3 linked regions of the Arabidopsis thaliana genome follow. The protein of the gene in region 1 interacts with the protein of each later gene in a biochemical or structural test. Each region holds a gene or a part of one and is shown on either strand. Other genes may lie near its edges.

Evidence for each region.
Region 2: the proteins of RGA1 (region 1) and NF-YB2 form a complex in vitro, tested with the Arabidopsis thaliana proteins (one study listed by BioGRID).
Region 3: the proteins of RGA1 (region 1) and GL3 form a complex in vitro, tested with the Arabidopsis thaliana proteins (one study listed by BioGRID).

What each region holds. Positions count from the first base shown.
Region 1 is NC_003071.7:254,530-260,204, reverse strand, and holds RGA1 (GRAS family transcription factor family protein), read left to right. Parts: upstream 1-2,636; 5' UTR 2,637-2,860; coding exon 2,861-4,624; 3' UTR 4,625-4,958; downstream 4,959-5,675. UniProt on the Arabidopsis thaliana protein: Probable transcriptional regulator that acts as a repressor of the gibberellin (GA) signaling pathway. Probably acts by participating in large multiprotein complexes that repress transcription of GA-inducible genes.
Region 2 is NC_003076.8:19,306,732-19,311,215, forward strand, and holds NF-YB2 (nuclear factor Y, subunit B2), read left to right. Parts: upstream 1-2,495; 5' UTR 2,496-2,682; coding exon 2,683-3,255; 3' UTR 3,256-3,541; downstream 3,542-4,484. Other genes in the region: mtACP3 (mitochondrial acyl carrier protein 3), read left to right, coding at 1-154; AT5G47635 (Pollen Ole e 1 allergen and extensin family protein), read right to left, coding at 550-842, 917-1,118; NUDT2 (nudix hydrolase homolog 2), read right to left, coding at 3,660-3,848, 3,946-4,054, 4,127-4,161, 4,257-4,307, 4,386-4,463. UniProt on the Arabidopsis thaliana protein: Component of the NF-Y/HAP transcription factor complex. The NF-Y complex stimulates the transcription of various genes by recognizing and binding to a CCAAT motif in promoters.
Region 3 is NC_003076.8:16,526,549-16,534,230, reverse strand, and holds GL3 (basic helix-loop-helix (bHLH) DNA-binding superfamily protein), read right to left. Parts: upstream 5,142-7,682; 5' UTR 4,934-5,141; coding exon of another isoform or gene 4,932-4,933; 5' UTR 4,799-4,931; coding exon 4,653-4,798; intron 4,312-4,652; coding exon 4,030-4,311; intron 3,451-4,029; coding exon 3,354-3,450; intron 3,257-3,353; coding exon 3,185-3,256; intron 2,865-3,184; coding exon 2,031-2,864; intron 1,947-2,030; coding exon 1,512-1,946; intron 1,437-1,511; coding exon 1,365-1,436; 3' UTR 944-1,364; downstream 1-943. UniProt on the Arabidopsis thaliana protein: Transcription activator, when associated with MYB75/PAP1, MYB90/PAP2 or TT2. Involved in epidermal cell fate specification.

The sequences.
Region 1 (5,675 bases):
AAAAATCATAAATAATACGTAGTTGGCAAAGAAAAAACACGATAATACGTGTATTATGAACTAATGGTGATTCGTTCAGATTTGCAGGTCGATGAATTCTCATGCACATATACAATAATTAGATCACATATAACAAACATTGTGCAATCGATATCATAAACACAGATTTGCGATTCATGCACGTATAACTCTTATAAAAAAATCTAAGCTAGTATACAATTGTTTGACGTATATAACCCAAACGATTCAAATATGCTCAGACCAAATCAATGTCGTATATGTTCAAAACTCACGCACCAGAACGATCTAGCTCCACAACACACTTTGAATCTTTGATCATTATAACCTCATCCATCTATAGTTCTATTATTCTATAATCTATACCATACAGCTCCATAAGAATAACATGACTATCTAGATCGTCATTAATGGCTGTTTGTGTATAGCATTTTTGCTAAAATGTTTTTAGTTCATAACCTTCAATTCTGAAAGTGCGACTTTTGCCAAAGAAAACCTATATCGTAATTTAAAAAAAAACAAAAATATAAATTCGATTTTGACACCTTGAAAACTATATATTACGAGGTGTACGACTACGAGTAACTAGTAATTGACTTTTTATAGGGGAGTGATGTTTGCTAGAAATTGTGGAAAAGTTATGGATATTTGAGTTATCACTGAAAAATATGTTTATAAAAAATGGAGAAGACTTAAAATATAACATTTTTAAAAATATTATGTACAGAAACAAAACCATGGTTTTGCATGGAAGAAATAACAAAATTAATATGAACCCAAAAAAAAAAAAAAAAAAAAAGTGAATTTAATGATAAATAGTTAAAGAAAGTGACGTAACATGACAATATAACATGTAACAAATGGATAGAGATGAAATTAAAAAAAACGGATCCGTAAAAACGGCCGTCAAGATGAAGGAAGCAGACTCGGTCCCTACCGTTTTAGATCTAATAATAATAGGACACGTGTTCAAATCTCATGAATTTTAGTAGAGACCACAAAAGTTCCAACCGCGTATAGTTATTGAAAGCTATATTGTGGGACCCATTAACACGTGGATCCATCACGTGCTGTCAGTTTGAGTTTCCTGAAGGATACAAATGAATATATTCTTTTCTTTTTAATACAGTTGATAGAAAGAGGCCGTTAATGACGGCGTTAAGCAATGTAACGGGAATCTCTTTGAATGATTTGACGTCGACGGACGCCGGCTGTTATGCTTAAAAACGGGTTTTCTTGTCACACCATTTTTTTTGCCTTTAATTAATTGTATTTCGAGCTATGAATGCTTAGTAATATTACACTATTAGGTTTTGTTTGCTTGATGATTTTTTTATATAGTCGGAACTTTAATATTGTCATCAAATATCATTAAATTTAATGTTTTCATTCGTGTTTTATTTAGTTTTTGTTGTTTTCGTAAGTTTTAAGTGGCTAGTTATATTTTTTATTTAGACTTTGACAGTAACAGTAGATTAGCATAAGCCTAAGTTAACTTTGTCAAGTTAAAAAGATCGAAGATACAACATCTGAAATCTCGATATATATTTATTATTATTATGAAAGCTTTTAAAATTATATGCATCTTGGAAATTAGAAGAAAAAATATGACCTAATTAACGTTTAATACTTGAAAGTTACTTCTATAAAAGAGAACTCGAAAATTGAAAATACATTGGTCCGATGATTTTTCAATACCCAATTATAGAATCCCTTTTAGAGATTTTTTTTTGTACATAAACTGAACCTGTAGGACTTAAAGTTACTGTAAAATTACTAGTACTGTACTTTTGTTAAAACCAAAATTTACTATTCTTTTATCTGATCATACGCAATTTTAGATTTATGTTTTCGATGGCTGAGCTTCAAACAACTTGTTGGAAAAAATAAAATAATAATCTCTTACAATTCAAAATGTGATTATATATCATTATTTTTTTACATCCAAGACATATGGTTAAATTATTATTACCATAAAGAAACTGGGAAGTAAAACAGTATCATGCTATCATGAAGTGAGTTCAGCTTTTTAAGTTGAATTTAATTATCCTCTGAAAAAGAGCATCTTCAGTTCTTCCATCAAAAGAATCAACTAAAAAGCCCTAAATCTCCTATTTTATAGATTTGACAAAAGTTTAATGATTCTCTTAGACTTGTAATTACTTTCTTCATCAATTAAACTAAAATTATTATATAGTTAAAAAAACAAACTCATAATATATCTATTCAGTAGATCCACAATTTTTTATATTACTCCATCAGATCTTGTAAATCAAAACAAAAAAATACACATCACAATGAATGTAAATATCACTTCAAATATACAGAAATTCTAAATGTTTTTACACACTTTATTTTTTTTTACGTATATGAAAATAAAAATAAAATTAGTAATGTGTGTTGTAATTTCACAGCCTTATCACTTTAGATGTGTATGTATGTTACTCTTTCTGGTACATTATTCATTGGTCGTCGAGCCCCATCACCACCATTCTTTTTCTTTTCTTTTTTTAATTTTCATCCAGAATAAATATCTTTTTATTTTAATAAATTTATATTTTCTGGTAAATAAAATAAATATTTTTTGAGAAATTTTTTTATTATTATTTTGAGAAATTATTATTATTAGTTCTGGTATGAATGATGATTGAAGTGGTAGTAGCAGTGAAAAACAAAAGCAATCCAATCCCAAACCCATTTGCTCTTAAGATTCTTCACATAGAGAAGTCACATGTTCCTTCTTCTTCTTCCTTCATCATCCCCAAACACACACAAACTAAAAAAAAGGCAAAACCCTAGATCCAAGATCAGACCTAATCTAATCGAAACTCATAGCTGAAAAATGAAGAGAGATCATCACCAATTCCAAGGTCGATTGTCCAACCACGGGACTTCTTCTTCATCATCATCAATCTCTAAAGATAAGATGATGATGGTGAAAAAAGAAGAAGACGGTGGAGGTAACATGGACGACGAGCTTCTCGCTGTTTTAGGTTACAAAGTTAGGTCATCGGAGATGGCGGAGGTTGCTTTGAAACTCGAACAATTAGAGACGATGATGAGTAATGTTCAAGAAGATGGTTTATCTCATCTCGCGACGGATACTGTTCATTATAATCCGTCGGAGCTTTATTCTTGGCTTGATAATATGCTCTCTGAGCTTAATCCTCCTCCTCTTCCGGCGAGTTCTAACGGTTTAGATCCGGTTCTTCCTTCGCCGGAGATTTGTGGTTTTCCGGCTTCGGATTATGACCTTAAAGTCATTCCCGGAAACGCGATTTATCAGTTTCCGGCGATTGATTCTTCGTCTTCGTCGAATAATCAGAACAAGCGTTTGAAATCATGCTCGAGTCCTGATTCTATGGTTACATCGACTTCGACGGGTACGCAGATTGGTGGAGTCATAGGAACGACGGTGACGACAACCACCACGACAACGACGGCGGCGGGTGAGTCAACTCGTTCTGTTATCCTGGTTGACTCGCAAGAGAACGGTGTTCGTTTAGTCCACGCGCTTATGGCTTGTGCAGAAGCAATCCAGCAGAACAATTTGACTCTAGCGGAAGCTCTTGTGAAGCAAATCGGATGCTTAGCTGTGTCTCAAGCCGGAGCTATGAGAAAAGTGGCTACTTACTTCGCCGAAGCTTTAGCGCGGCGGATCTACCGTCTCTCTCCGCCGCAGAATCAGATCGATCATTGTCTCTCCGATACTCTTCAGATGCACTTTTACGAGACTTGTCCTTATCTTAAATTCGCTCACTTCACGGCGAACCAAGCGATTCTCGAAGCTTTTGAAGGTAAGAAGAGAGTACACGTCATTGATTTCTCGATGAACCAAGGTCTTCAATGGCCTGCACTTATGCAAGCTCTTGCGCTTCGAGAAGGAGGTCCTCCAACTTTCCGGTTAACCGGAATTGGTCCACCGGCGCCGGATAATTCTGATCATCTTCATGAAGTTGGTTGTAAATTAGCTCAGCTTGCGGAGGCGATTCACGTAGAATTCGAATACCGTGGATTCGTTGCTAACAGCTTAGCCGATCTCGATGCTTCGATGCTTGAGCTTAGACCGAGCGATACGGAAGCTGTTGCGGTGAACTCTGTTTTTGAGCTACATAAGCTCTTAGGTCGTCCCGGTGGGATAGAGAAAGTTCTCGGCGTTGTGAAACAGATTAAACCGGTGATTTTCACGGTGGTTGAGCAAGAATCGAACCATAACGGACCGGTTTTCTTAGACCGGTTTACTGAATCGTTACATTATTATTCGACTCTGTTTGATTCGTTGGAAGGAGTTCCGAATAGTCAAGACAAAGTCATGTCTGAAGTTTACTTAGGGAAACAGATTTGTAATCTGGTGGCTTGTGAAGGTCCTGACAGAGTCGAGAGACACGAAACGTTGAGTCAATGGGGAAACCGGTTTGGTTCGTCCGGTTTAGCGCCGGCACATCTTGGGTCTAACGCGTTTAAGCAAGCGAGTATGCTTTTGTCTGTGTTTAATAGTGGCCAAGGTTATCGTGTGGAGGAGAGTAATGGATGTTTGATGTTGGGTTGGCACACTCGTCCACTCATTACCACCTCCGCTTGGAAACTCTCGACGGCGGCGTACTGAGTTTGACTCGAAGCATACGACGGTGGTGGAGTCGAGTCGAGTGAATTTGAGATTGAGATCAGTGGACCGGTGATGACATATGTTCGGACCAAGACCTAAACCGAACTGAATCGAACCGTTTTGCCTTTTGTTTATTTTATTTATTTTCGTTCACTTGTTTAAAATTCTTATATATATCGTTTTGGTAGGTCATTTTTAATTTATGCCTTTTTGGGATCAATTTTTAATAGGCTGAGTTTGTATTTATTAATAAATTATCTTTATGAATTTTAAACTAAAACTATGTTTTAATCTCATTTAAAAAAAAATTAATATCAAGTTTTATTAATCTCAATTTCTTGGCAAAATAATTTTTTTTTATCGACTTCACTAAGTATGAACAGTAATAAACTAATAATTAGTGAATTTAGATATTTCTAATTTGTTAATGAGGTTTATTTTATAAAGTAAAGTTGAGAAAGAGAAAGGGATGATAGTGAGTTATAACTATTGTTACAAAGAGTACTAACTACTAAGCGATAATTTCATGAAAAAGGTTTTGATACTTTTTTTAGTGGAGTGTGATTTAACAATTTTGGCTCATATTTTTAACTAATTTCTCATTGGCTGTAATCATATCGAAAAGCCAAAGTTTATGAATTGTGGTGAAGAATATAGTAAATATTTATTTAGATCGACACATCAACTTTTAGATCCGATGTTTTAATCTTTAGAAATGTTTAGTATTTTCTAATTGCAGGCGTATGTAACTTATTAATGTTAAACAAACCCTCGTGTAGTCTCGTAGACTCTCATAGGAGATATATATTAAAGTCTATAACCTGGTCTAGATGTATAGTTTATGTGTAATTAGTACATGATATTTTTATAAACCGCCGGAACAACTTTTGAAATAAGATAATCTCCTAAGTATTTTAAATGAGCTCGAATTATTTTTAGTTAGAGGATTATTATAATTAAGGTTCCAGAAATTAGTAGAAGCTCAGTCTTAAAAGTATTGAACCGACCTATCAAAAATTTAAATCAATAATCTCAGTTTTTTTTTGCCATA
Region 2 (4,484 bases), on another chromosome or scaffold:
GTTGGACAGCTTGGACAAGACGGAGCTAGTTATGGCTATTGAAGAAGAGTTCTCGATTGAGATCCCTGATGAGAAAGCTGATAAGCTTACTTGTTGTGGTGATGTTGCAACATACATACTCTCTGAAACTCCTACCAAAGCGTCTGAGTCCTGAGTTGTATCTCTGCCTTTCTGTCTCTCTTGTTTTCAATGTTTAGTTAATGCAAGTTTAGAGACATGCTCTGTGTCAGTGTGTCTTTGCTTCAGCCAATATGATCATTTGGGTTTTTGCTGCTAAACATTTTATATGATATATATTCTAATGTGATCACACTACTTTTGTACCAAAAACATGGGAGCCTTTATATACATGATGCTTACAGTTGTTTGTTCTTACACTTTGGGAACATGAAACACAATGTAGAGAGACTCTAACTCGGTTCTGTGACTGGAGCGCCAGCTAAGCAAACGAGGACCATAACAAAAAAAATGCTTTTCACATGAAGGAACTTGAAGAATCAGCTGTTTGTGTTCAAATCTTTTGGTTGAAATGTTGTCTCAACGAGCTTGCTATGATCTCGAACTGTGGCCCTGTAACCTGATTTTCCCTGAGGTGTAGACACGGAAACCATTGGTAGAGGAAACAAGTTTGATAGGTTTGTGTATATTGGTAGAGGTGTTATAGCATCTATAGGGCCTAGGCACATATACTGGCTTGATGAAACAAGTGTTTTCAAGGTGTGGAATCGCATGGAGTTGGGAGGGAAGATCGATTTCAAACTCTCCCAATTCATCAGTAACAGCCTTAATCCATTTGGACCTCCTTTTGGATCCAGTGTGGCACTTGATGGCAACGGTGGCACCTGCGAGGATCATGTTAGTATATATTCGGACGGAAGACAAGAAACATGAAGAAAAAAGGTAGAGAAACAAATACCTGGGATAGGGATGGAGTGAAGGTGAGGACGTGAAGTGTCGCAGAGAAGAGATCCGGTGATCACGACAGAGGAGAGTTTCTGTTCACCGTAGCCAGCCATCTCCACCATTTCCGTTCTGGTCCATAAATTATTCCCAAATGCTCCGGTGAACAAGAAGAAAGAGAGTAACAAGAAGCAACGGATGATGAAGAAGCTTCCCATCGTTAAAAACAAAGAAAAGAGGTTTGTTTGTTTTTCTTTGTATTTTGTTAAAGAAATGAAAATAGCATGAATATATAGAGAAGAAGAAGGAAGCTAAAGAAGAGGAAGAGACCCTTTGCGTGGTGGCTTCAGGTCACACAGCTCTGTACGGCAGTGTCTCTCTTTATACCTTGTAGTAGCCTTTTTCTTTTCAGTTGTATCTTTTCTAAATATATTAAAAATCGTGGCTGACTTGTTAGGGTCAAATTTAGAGCTGAATCTTCCAAATGAAACAATGAACCGAGAGCGAAAGAGAAAGAGAGATACGGCACTTGGAAGCAATTACTGAGTGGTTCGCCTACTCTTTCACTCCTTGTATAAGTATTATTTTAATAATAATATTTGGTGCAACGTTTTTGTATCTAGTGTGACGTTTCTCCTTTTCTTTATTTAATTAAGCCAATTCAGTTAGAGTAGTCATGCAGTAACCAAAAGATTCAAGCCTACCCTCAACTATACTCGCACACATTCAGCTTTGAACACAACGGCTTCAACATCGTGGGTTTGGTCGTGTCTACGTGCTCAGAATATCTAGTTGATGGTGGGAGTCAGCAGGGTTTTGACCAAACCACAGTTTCTCAAGTCCTCATTACATTGAAAAAAGTATGGGCTTAAAAGAAGCCTAGATATTGATAATAGGTCCATCACCTTTAATGGGCCATTCAGTTTGATTATCTTAACGGCCCATTAGGATTCTCCAGGTGGGACAAGTATTAGCTATGTCATTAAGAGCTTAATACAGCTGGAAGCTGGTGATTATTGTTAATGTTAACTAATCACACGCTTAGAAAAGCGACAATGGTTGGACCCACAGGAGAAGATCGAGACCGTCAAAAGTGGACAAAACTGGGACGCTTTTTGTTTCCAAACAGCTGTCTGATCTGATTGGTCGATGCAGTTTTGATGGCAATGAACCCCACCACAGACCACACCCTCATGATCCAACCCAATTCGCTCGTAACACAAAAAAAAAAAGAAGTGAAAAATTGACCGAAGGGTCGTTGAGTGGCAGTTACCCTCTGTCTCCCTAACGCCCACCTATCTTCTCCGTGTTTTCCACGCGCTATCTTTCTCTCTTCTGTGTGTTTACCACGCTCCTCTTATGCGCGTCGGCTCGTGACAAAAGTGTGCCGGGTCCACTAACTGTCCACAACACGTGGCAAAGCCTTAAAGGGCTGTCTATCTCTCAAACAAGATCAATTCCAATCCGACGGTCGAGCACGTATCCAGTTGTCAGAATCTTATCAGTAAACGGACGGTTCATATAAGATCACGTGTCAAGTGAGCAGAAGTCGTGCGTCCTCTCTTTATATAAGCTCCGGCGACTCCTTCACCACTGTGTACAATACCAGCCGACACTTAACAATTCACACCTGCTCTTTTTACTCTTTCTAAAACCCTAAATTTTCTCGCTTCAGTCTTCCCACTCAAGTCAACCACCAATTGAATTCGATTTCGAATCATTGATGGAAATGATTTGAAAAAAGAGTAAAGTTTATTTTTTTATTCCTTGTAATTTTCAGAAATGGGGGATTCCGACAGGGATTCCGGTGGAGGGCAAAACGGGAACAACCAGAACGGACAGTCCTCCTTGTCTCCAAGAGAGCAAGACAGGTTCTTGCCGATCGCTAACGTCAGCCGGATCATGAAGAAGGCCTTGCCCGCCAACGCCAAGATCTCTAAAGATGCCAAAGAGACGATGCAGGAGTGTGTCTCCGAGTTCATCAGCTTCGTCACCGGAGAAGCATCTGATAAGTGTCAGAAGGAGAAGAGGAAGACGATCAACGGAGACGATTTGCTCTGGGCTATGACTACTCTAGGTTTTGAGGATTATGTTGAGCCATTGAAAGTTTACTTGCAGAGGTTTAGGGAGATCGAAGGGGAGAGGACTGGACTAGGGAGGCCACAGACTGGTGGTGAGGTCGGAGAGCATCAGAGAGATGCTGTCGGAGATGGCGGTGGGTTCTACGGTGGTGGTGGTGGGATGCAGTATCACCAACATCATCAGTTTCTTCACCAGCAGAACCATATGTATGGAGCCACAGGTGGCGGTAGCGACAGTGGAGGTGGAGCTGCCTCCGGTAGGACAAGGACTTAACAAAGATTGGTGAAGTGGATCTCTCTCTGTATATAGATACATAAATACATGTATACACATGCCTATTTTTACGACCCATATAAGGTATCTATCATGTGATAGAACGAACATTGGTGTTGGTGATGTAAAATCAGATGTGCATTAAGGGTTTAGATTTTGAGGCTGTGTAAAGAAGATCAAGTGTGCTTGTTGAACAATAGGATTCACTAACGAATCTGCTTCATTGAATCTTGTATGTAACTAAAGCCATTGTATTGAATGCAAATGTTTTCATTTGGGATGCTTTTATGTTTTGGTGAGAGTTATGTAGTGATTCAAGTGTCAAAATGCTTACATAGAGAGGCAGCAAAGAAACCAGCTTCGTTAGAATCTGTGAGGAAAGCTCTGTTTGTTGAGAAAGAAGGTCAATTGCGCGAATGTAAGTCGCGGGTGTTGTAGTACAAGTTGCCTTGTTGATCAGGTGCAGAGACGCGGAGAGGAGTGAAGCCTTCGTAGTCTCCGTTGGTTTTAGCAGAGCAAATGTCTGTCATATACCTCAATAGCTCATAATTTTGTACAAATGGTTGATTTATGTATTCCTCCCAAGGCATCCACTGCACCAAATTCCCATTTTCAGAAAGAGAAGAGGTTTATGAGTGTTTTAGTGGATGAGACTGGAGAGTCGTTGAAGTGAGGAGCAAAAACTGTTACCTGAGCTGCCTCAATCTCTGACTCCTGTGCGTTGATCTCCAAAGAAAGGGGCTTTAACATGCACACGAAGAACAAATCTGACTTTCCAAAGAACGCTTTGTGTGTTTGTCTGCCAGAATTTTAAAACAGACGAGAATCAGTTATGTTGCAATATAGAAGATTATGCAGTTGGAGTTGCTACCTGAAGGCCAATATTTGGTCGAATTCTGTATCCACCTGAAAACATACGATGCAGAAGAGTGGGATTAGCTCTTGGTCTCATGTAAACTGTAAAGAGGACAGTGAAAAGTTGAGGCATGAAGAAGCCTTACTCCGGTCTCTTCTTTCACCTCTCTGACTGAGCCATCATGAATGTCTTCACCCTGACTCAACACAAACACAAAAAGGCGAATCAGAGAGCTGAACCTAACCATGTAATGAGCTTTAATAAGAACCAGCACCTCATTCACAACTCCGGTGGGGAACTTCCAGATACCTTGACCTTGAAATCTCCCTGTCTTCTCTTGAACCACCAGCACCTTTGGATTCAAATACAGAAA
Region 3 (7,682 bases), on another chromosome or scaffold:
GAGATAACAAATATAAACCAATATTAATTGGAAAACTGTTTAAAGCATATCCATAAATACAAGATTAAGGATTCATCTCTGTAACACAGGTAAATAGAGAATGCATCTAGTAAAACCCGAGTAGTATTGCGATTATCTCGACTTAATTCAAAAGAGAAACTATTGTAAACTACATTTTCGAGAACTAAGAAGTACACACATAGTTAAGAAAAATATCCGAGATATATATAAAAACATGTAAATGCAAGTTCTTACCGGAGAGAAGAATTTTCAGGCCATCTTCACCATTCTCGATCTCTCCCTTGAGTCTTGTCTGATCGCACACTTTGTGTGTAAAATCGACATGTATCTTTGAATTTATGTTTTCGGTTTTGCTGTTAAAAAGGAAAGGAGTTATGTTTTTGTCTGAAAAAATATTTTCCATATGAGGTATATTTTATTCAAAGAAAAATATTTTTAGTCATTAATTTTGGTTCTACCTTCTAAATAACAATATTTTAGCTTTCCAATTTGGATCTTTTTCTTGATAATCAAGTTTACCCATTTTTCTATATTTTATATTTTTACACAAATTAGAAAGTAAATTAGAATTCACCTTAGAATTTAAAGGAATAAGATTCATGTTTTTATACTATTGTTTAAGATTTTTTTGTCAACACAAAGATTTTAAATGATAAGATAAGAGTACTCTGGTTTTCCATTAATATATGAAGATTATTTTCAGTTTGGGTTTGAAATATCCTTGATATTAAACGAAAAGAATAACATGAGTTGGTAAGTAAAACATAATAAGACATGACTAGATAGGTAAAATTACATAAAGCAAATTAGAAAGTAATTTGGTCAACACCTCTAAATTTGTAAAAATAAGATATTACAGCATTTATTTTTGTTGATTTTCACTATGTTATTTCAATGAAATCATTTATGACCCAGTTAAGGAAATTAATCTGGATTTCTTATCATAAACTTTACCTCTTTGTTATCCATGAAAATGCCAAAATGCAGAATCTTCTCCCGTTTCGTGTGAAGCTTTTTGACCACTAATTTTCATTTACACATTAATGTTTTTTTCCCCGTAATTTCACATCAACCTTGTGCTTAAACAACAAAAGAACACAAAATCATCTAAACTGGCTATTACTATTACTAATACCCTTAAAATAATCTACCTCAAACAAAATACGCATAGTGTATGTTCCTCTTCACCTACGTTAAGCAACGGAAAAAAAGACACAAAAAAAAAACAAAAAACAAATGATAAACATAACATTAATTCCTAAAACCCGGTTAGAAGAAAACCAAAGAATAGAAACCAAACCGGGAATGTTTTTTCTTTGCTGTCAATTTTAACTAAGTAGTCTTCAACAGATCCATGCAACCCTTTGAAGTGCTTCTTTGATCATTCCTGGTGTCGCTATTTTTGACCCCTTGTGCTGAAACCAACACATTTCATGTCAATCTAGGTTAACCAAATCCTGGTTAAGCCAAAAGTAGGTTAGAGAGTATACCTTGCAATTGACGGTTAAGCAGAGCAAACCGTCTCCGGTCGAGGATTGAACCGAATGAGAATCCAAATGGAGATCACTAATCACATCCATTATCTCAAGCAATACTCCTTCTCTCCAAGCACATCTAAGCTCAATAACCACCTCATTACCAAACGAACCGATCCTTAAATTATCGGTTAAACCAGTAAAACCGGTATCTGCTGGCTCGGCTTCACCAACATTGTTAACCGACACCTTCTTCCCATTTCCTGTTTCATTATTTGCGCAATTAGCTGATGTTCTTTCTCCTGCGTCGCATGGTTTCTTCCTCTTCATCGTCATCGTCCCACGAGTCTCTGTATCGGTTGATTCTCTGCAAGATTCTAGTTCTTGAACCCGTCTCTCGAGTTCTTGAAGATACTCTATCGTATCGTCAAGAATCGATACTTTATCGATCTATCGAAAATGTTAAACATAAGATTAGTTACCTCGCGATATATATGGATTTGAAATTTTGAAGAATCGATTATATAAATATACCTTGTTGATTGACGGAATGATTTTTCTCAAGGTCATGAACCGTTCGTTCAATTTCTCGCGGCGCTTCTTCTCTAAAACCGCATGGTTCCCAGTTTCATCTCTGGCTTCTGGTGAGTCCAACATTAACTTCTCTTTCTGGTGCACTCGCGGAACATCGAAAATAATTTTCTTTAACATTCCTTGTGATGGTGCCGTGACCGTGGCGGTTCCTGATGATGATGACGATGATTTCTTCCACCTAGTGAAGCTTGACTGTTTATCGCAGTTTCGAAACTGCGGTCCGAGAATTAACTGATGGTTGGTCTTAAAAATCGTTGAGATCACACTTTGGTAATGAACGTCGTCGTTTCTTGGATCAAATGACAATGTCTTCACATTTCTCTGTTGCTCTTGAATTTGCCCTAGTCTTTGAACTCTACTCTTTCTTGCACCGTAAGCAACCCGTCCAGCCGCCCCTTCAACAAACGTTTGAGAGACGCAATCGCTGGAATTTAGCGACTGGTGAACGCAGTTACTAAGCTCGTCGTCCATGAGCTGCCAGCTTTGCACCTGAGAAGCTCCTCCAGTGATTCTTTCGGTCATGAAAGAATCATGATCATCTGCTACTTGTTCATGTTCTTGATCGAAACCGTTGGTAGTTCTGCTCGGAGAAGCTGTTGGAAAAGGCTCCGTACTGAACATAGGCGCGTAAATCTCGTCGCCTAGAATCTGTTGCGGATCAAGAACGTTGTCGATGTGATAATCGGATCTTGCTGGTAATATTGTAGCGTACGGATCAGGGGCTTCGAGGAATGATGTCTTCACGCATTGTATTACATTCATGTCTTCCGTAATCTACGAGACGAAACACACCAAGAAAAAGCCTTGAAAAAGTTTTCAATTATAACTATACCAACGAGCTAGTAAAAAGTACAAAAGCCGTATTTTCGCGTTTTGTCATAACCAAACCGTGGAAATCTTTAAAAATCGAGACTACTAAAATATTAGTTTGTGTGTTCTTGGTGTCTATACCGTTATTCGACAGATTGAAGGGTCAAATTGAAATGTTAGAATACATTGTGGTAATTTTATAATTATTCTTTTTTTCTTAATAAAGGATTTTCATAATAATTATTCTAAAACATTGGAAGCAGAAAACACAAATATTGGCTTACATGTTCTGTGGTACCAATCTCAACGACTCCTCCAAGGAACGGGAAGCAAACCACTGTCTTAACCGCAGCACTCTAAACCACCACAAAACGCAAACAAAAACGAACGATTTTAGTGTTTTCAAATCGCAAAAAAGTGTTACATAGCAACTACATCAATACTACAACTTACTTTTGCTAGAAGAGAACGGCTAAACACTTTACTATCCGCCGTATGAGCGTTGCACAACCATATCGGTTCACCGTTTGCAAACGTCCGTCCAGGCATTCTGCAAAAAGACAGGTTCATTTAGAAAGCAGCAATGCATTCTAAGCTTAATTTTTCCACATTTTTTCTTCCTAACATATTCATAATTATTGAAAGTTAATTAGCCGTGTTCATAAAGACCAAAATGAAACGAATTTTTTAATTAATCCGGACAGAAACAAACTTTTGTGATGATAAATAAACCGAACTAAACTCGAATCGAACACAAATATACTGCAACCAAACCGAATTAATAAAATTTATTAGATGTAGAATAGAGTTAAACATACTAATGCATATATATACACATTATTATTTAAAATTAATTATGTTTTAACTTTTTCTTTTGTAATCTGAAACCGACCAAATCCGGACATTAAATTTTGAAACCAAACTGAAACTAAAAAATTGGTTCTAGCTCATACTTTTTTCCTGCAGAACCCTGAAATCTAACAAACCTAAACTGAACCATAAAAGTCGAAATCCTTGGACCTACTAGTATTAAAAGTATATTTTGGCACGTTGTTTAAAACTGGCAAAGATCAACACGATCATGACACATAATAAATGTCAATGCTGATAGAGGAAAAGACGGAATTACCCTTCACCAATGTTGAAGACGAAAGACATACAAACCAAATAGTACCACTCGGTGTCGGCGAGATCTTCCGGTGAAAGTGCGGCGGCGGAAGCTCGTCTGGTGACTTGAGATCCGGCAGCAACGCCTGAAGAAGAAGATTCAGCGACGGAGAGAGACTCGTAAAGCTCGCTAAGCTGCTCGCTCCTCCGTAGACCAAGCTGATCAGCTTTGATCTCCGAAGCTTGAATCGTCTTCCTCGTTTTGATATCTCCATTATAGTATCCATCTCCCCATTCTAAAACTCTTTTTATATATAGAAAAACAAAAACAAATATCAAATCGAATAAAGAAAACAAACAAAACATTTTCTTGAACTAATCAAGAACTTCAAGAAGAAGAGAAAAAAAATTGAACTTTTAAAGAAGATCAAGAAACCTTATATGAGTTTATAAGAAAAAATCAATGGAATCAAGAAAAACCTAGAGAACCTTGTCTTGAGTTGTAGAACTAAACACTAGTTTTGATTTGAAGTGAACACATAAGTTTTATCTAATTTTCCAATTAAAATCAAGAAATTTACTTCATCAATATCTTTCAAAATCTCCAATATCTAGTGTTCAATGAATATGATTTAAGAAACTTACCCAGACTGAGAAGCAGAGACAGACCAAAAGATACCATAACTCCATTGAATGTTTCGAACTGAAACTGCGAGGTGTTTCTTCAGATTCTCTGGCACAGTTGTTCTGTTTTGTCCGGTAGCCATTGTTTCTTCATCCCTATATCCCATGAAACCACACACAGGGAAAAAGAAAAGAAAAGAAAAAAATCAAACTTTTTGTCCTGATTTAGAAAGAAATAAGATACTATGTTAAATTTATAGCCTAAAAAAGAAAGAAAAAGGGAAACTTGTAACTCTTTACATTTTTTTTGAAGTATCAGAGAGGATACAAACTAGATGTTAAGGTTTTTGTGTTTGTCATTTGATGAAACAGTTGCCGTTTTCGCCGGAACAAACAGAGAAATGTTTGAGAGTTTTTTTTTTCTTTGGTCACTCCATACTTTTTTTTTATTAATGTTGTTTTGAATATTAATTTTGTTGTTGTTTGAGCTTGAACTCGAAAGACTAGAAGAACTGTCTACGAATCCTTTTTTTCTTTGAATATGACGATATCATCTTTGTTGTGTACAGAACAAAACACAAGACATTTATGACGAAAATAAAAAGTACTTATAATTTTTTAATGATTTATGAGAAAAAAAAAGGATACAAAAGTAGAGGAAAAAAGCAAAACGCTGATGTTGATTGATTGTTCCTCTTTTTATCTTGAAGTTGATTGATTAGTTCCTCATTTGGGAAGAACAACCTTTTTTTAAGACAATGAACTACAATGTCCATTGTTGTGGTCTTGTCTTCAATAAATTCTCTATTCAGTCTCTTTGTGGTTCTAGAGATCTCTTTTTTTTGGGAATATTGAATCATTGTGTGTCTCTTCCAACACTGATTTTAAAGTTAAAATGTTATCACGTCAAGGCTGAACTTTTCACCCATCTATTCTTGAAAAAAAATGTTTCCCTCACTTAATATCCCCACTGATACCAAAAAAAAAAAATTTGTTTCCTTGACTATTAGATCTTTGAAGCAATGTTGACTAGAATACCATTAGCATGTGATCCAAGTCCAATCTAACCAGCATCGTATGATTTCTTTCATTTTGTATAATCTAATCAGTCTTATTACTATTTGAGTGATCGAAATATATTATTGTCGGTGAGTAACATCGTTTTATGAATTTTCCAAAAGTACACAAAACGACCAAAAGTATAATGTCTCAAATCAGAGTATATGATTAACATATATAATAATAGTAAAATCATCAGCTTTTTACTTGGTGTCAAAACGAAGCTAATCGCTATGAATCTAAATTATAGTCACAAACACAATAATAGATAAATTGAGGAGGAAAGAGATAATATAAGAACAGTCTTTACTAAAATTGGGAAACACAAAGAAAGACACGAAATTAATGTTTGGCCTCGAGGAGTTCCCCCAATACGTACAGACACAATCTTAATTTTTGCAATCACATCTTTAAAATGAATAAAAATGTTATGGACATTTTCGACGTTGATTCTCCCTATAGTCATATACTTACAATATTATTATATTTCAAAATTCTCTTATACTATTAAACCTATATTTTCGAAGTATTTATGCAACTATTTAAAATATAACTTTAAATAAAACCCTGCTAAATGGACCATTAGTACTTATTATTTTCCTTTTCTGACATCTAGAAAAGAGAGAGACGTTGACGTCAGAAAACATTAAAATATATATACACGTTCGGTCCCCTACAAGATCAAAGTCTAAACATTCGTAGTGCTGTTGATCGGAGGTTTCGGTAAATTAATCGGATGTGTTGATGTTTGAGGGTAATATTTAGGAAATTTGGTATAGCTTTCGATACAACAATATAAAATTTGTCTGATCCAAACTTATGTAACACTAATATATATTGTTATTTTCAATCAGAATACTAACTCAAGTTAAATGGGGAATTCAACTCCTAATCCGATGAAGCCTTGCTGGTTTGGATCAAGACGTCATCTTCACTTCAACAACTCCATCTCCTGACTCCTATCTTTCGCTATGGTTTGCTAATTTCCAACAAAATTAGACCACATCTTTACTGATCTTACTAGAACACTCGTCTCTATATGTTTATCTTATTTGATTGTATCTGAGCATTAAGGCTCCTCTGTAAGACCTCTTTCATATATATAAACGGAACTAATTAAAAAAAGAAGTAATATATATATATATATAGGGTATATACTATGTTGTTATTTTCTTGACATAGACGGCACAGAAGAAATAATGTTGTAAACACGGCCATTAAAATCATAAACTTTTGGGCATGTACGAGAAGATGTGAGAGATTCAATGCTATGTATAGGACAATGGAAGCATGACACTATTTTGCTATTAACTGGTTTGTATCCTCTCTTCTATGTTAAAAAACTGTATGTTTTCCCATATACTAAATGACATATGGATATAGCTGAGAAAATAATATTTTAATTTGGATATACTATATTGGTTTAACAATGAAACATAAGTGGTTCCACTTTCCACCTCATAAGGCATATTATCATCATCTTATATGTATCTCAATTCTCAAGGTTCAGAAAAAGGTAAGATAGTTCATCTAAGTCAATGGAAGTCAAACTATGTAAATAATGGGCTTTTGATTTGCTTCTTGTTTATGATTTGATTCAAAGATCATGGTGGATCTTAGGAGGTAGAGAATCACATGAATTTGGATGGGAATTCAAAAAATTATACTTAATTTGGCTTAATGAAACAATTAATAAAGAAGAGACCAAGAGTCAATATTGTCACTGGCGACGTTAATTAAGCCATCAACTATATAATTTTGTCATTTCCCAAAATTGTCGTTATTACTTGTTGCGTCTCCATGAGAATCATAATGAACATTAGACCTCGTTTATTTAATTATATCATTAAGCCCGTATCCTCTTTTGTTTTATCCTGCTTTTTATAGCATTATTTTACTTAGACTCTACTAATATTAAAGTAAAATTTAGCTACCTATTTGTATCTACCATTGTGAAGTTATTTAAATACTACACTATAAATTTGTACAATC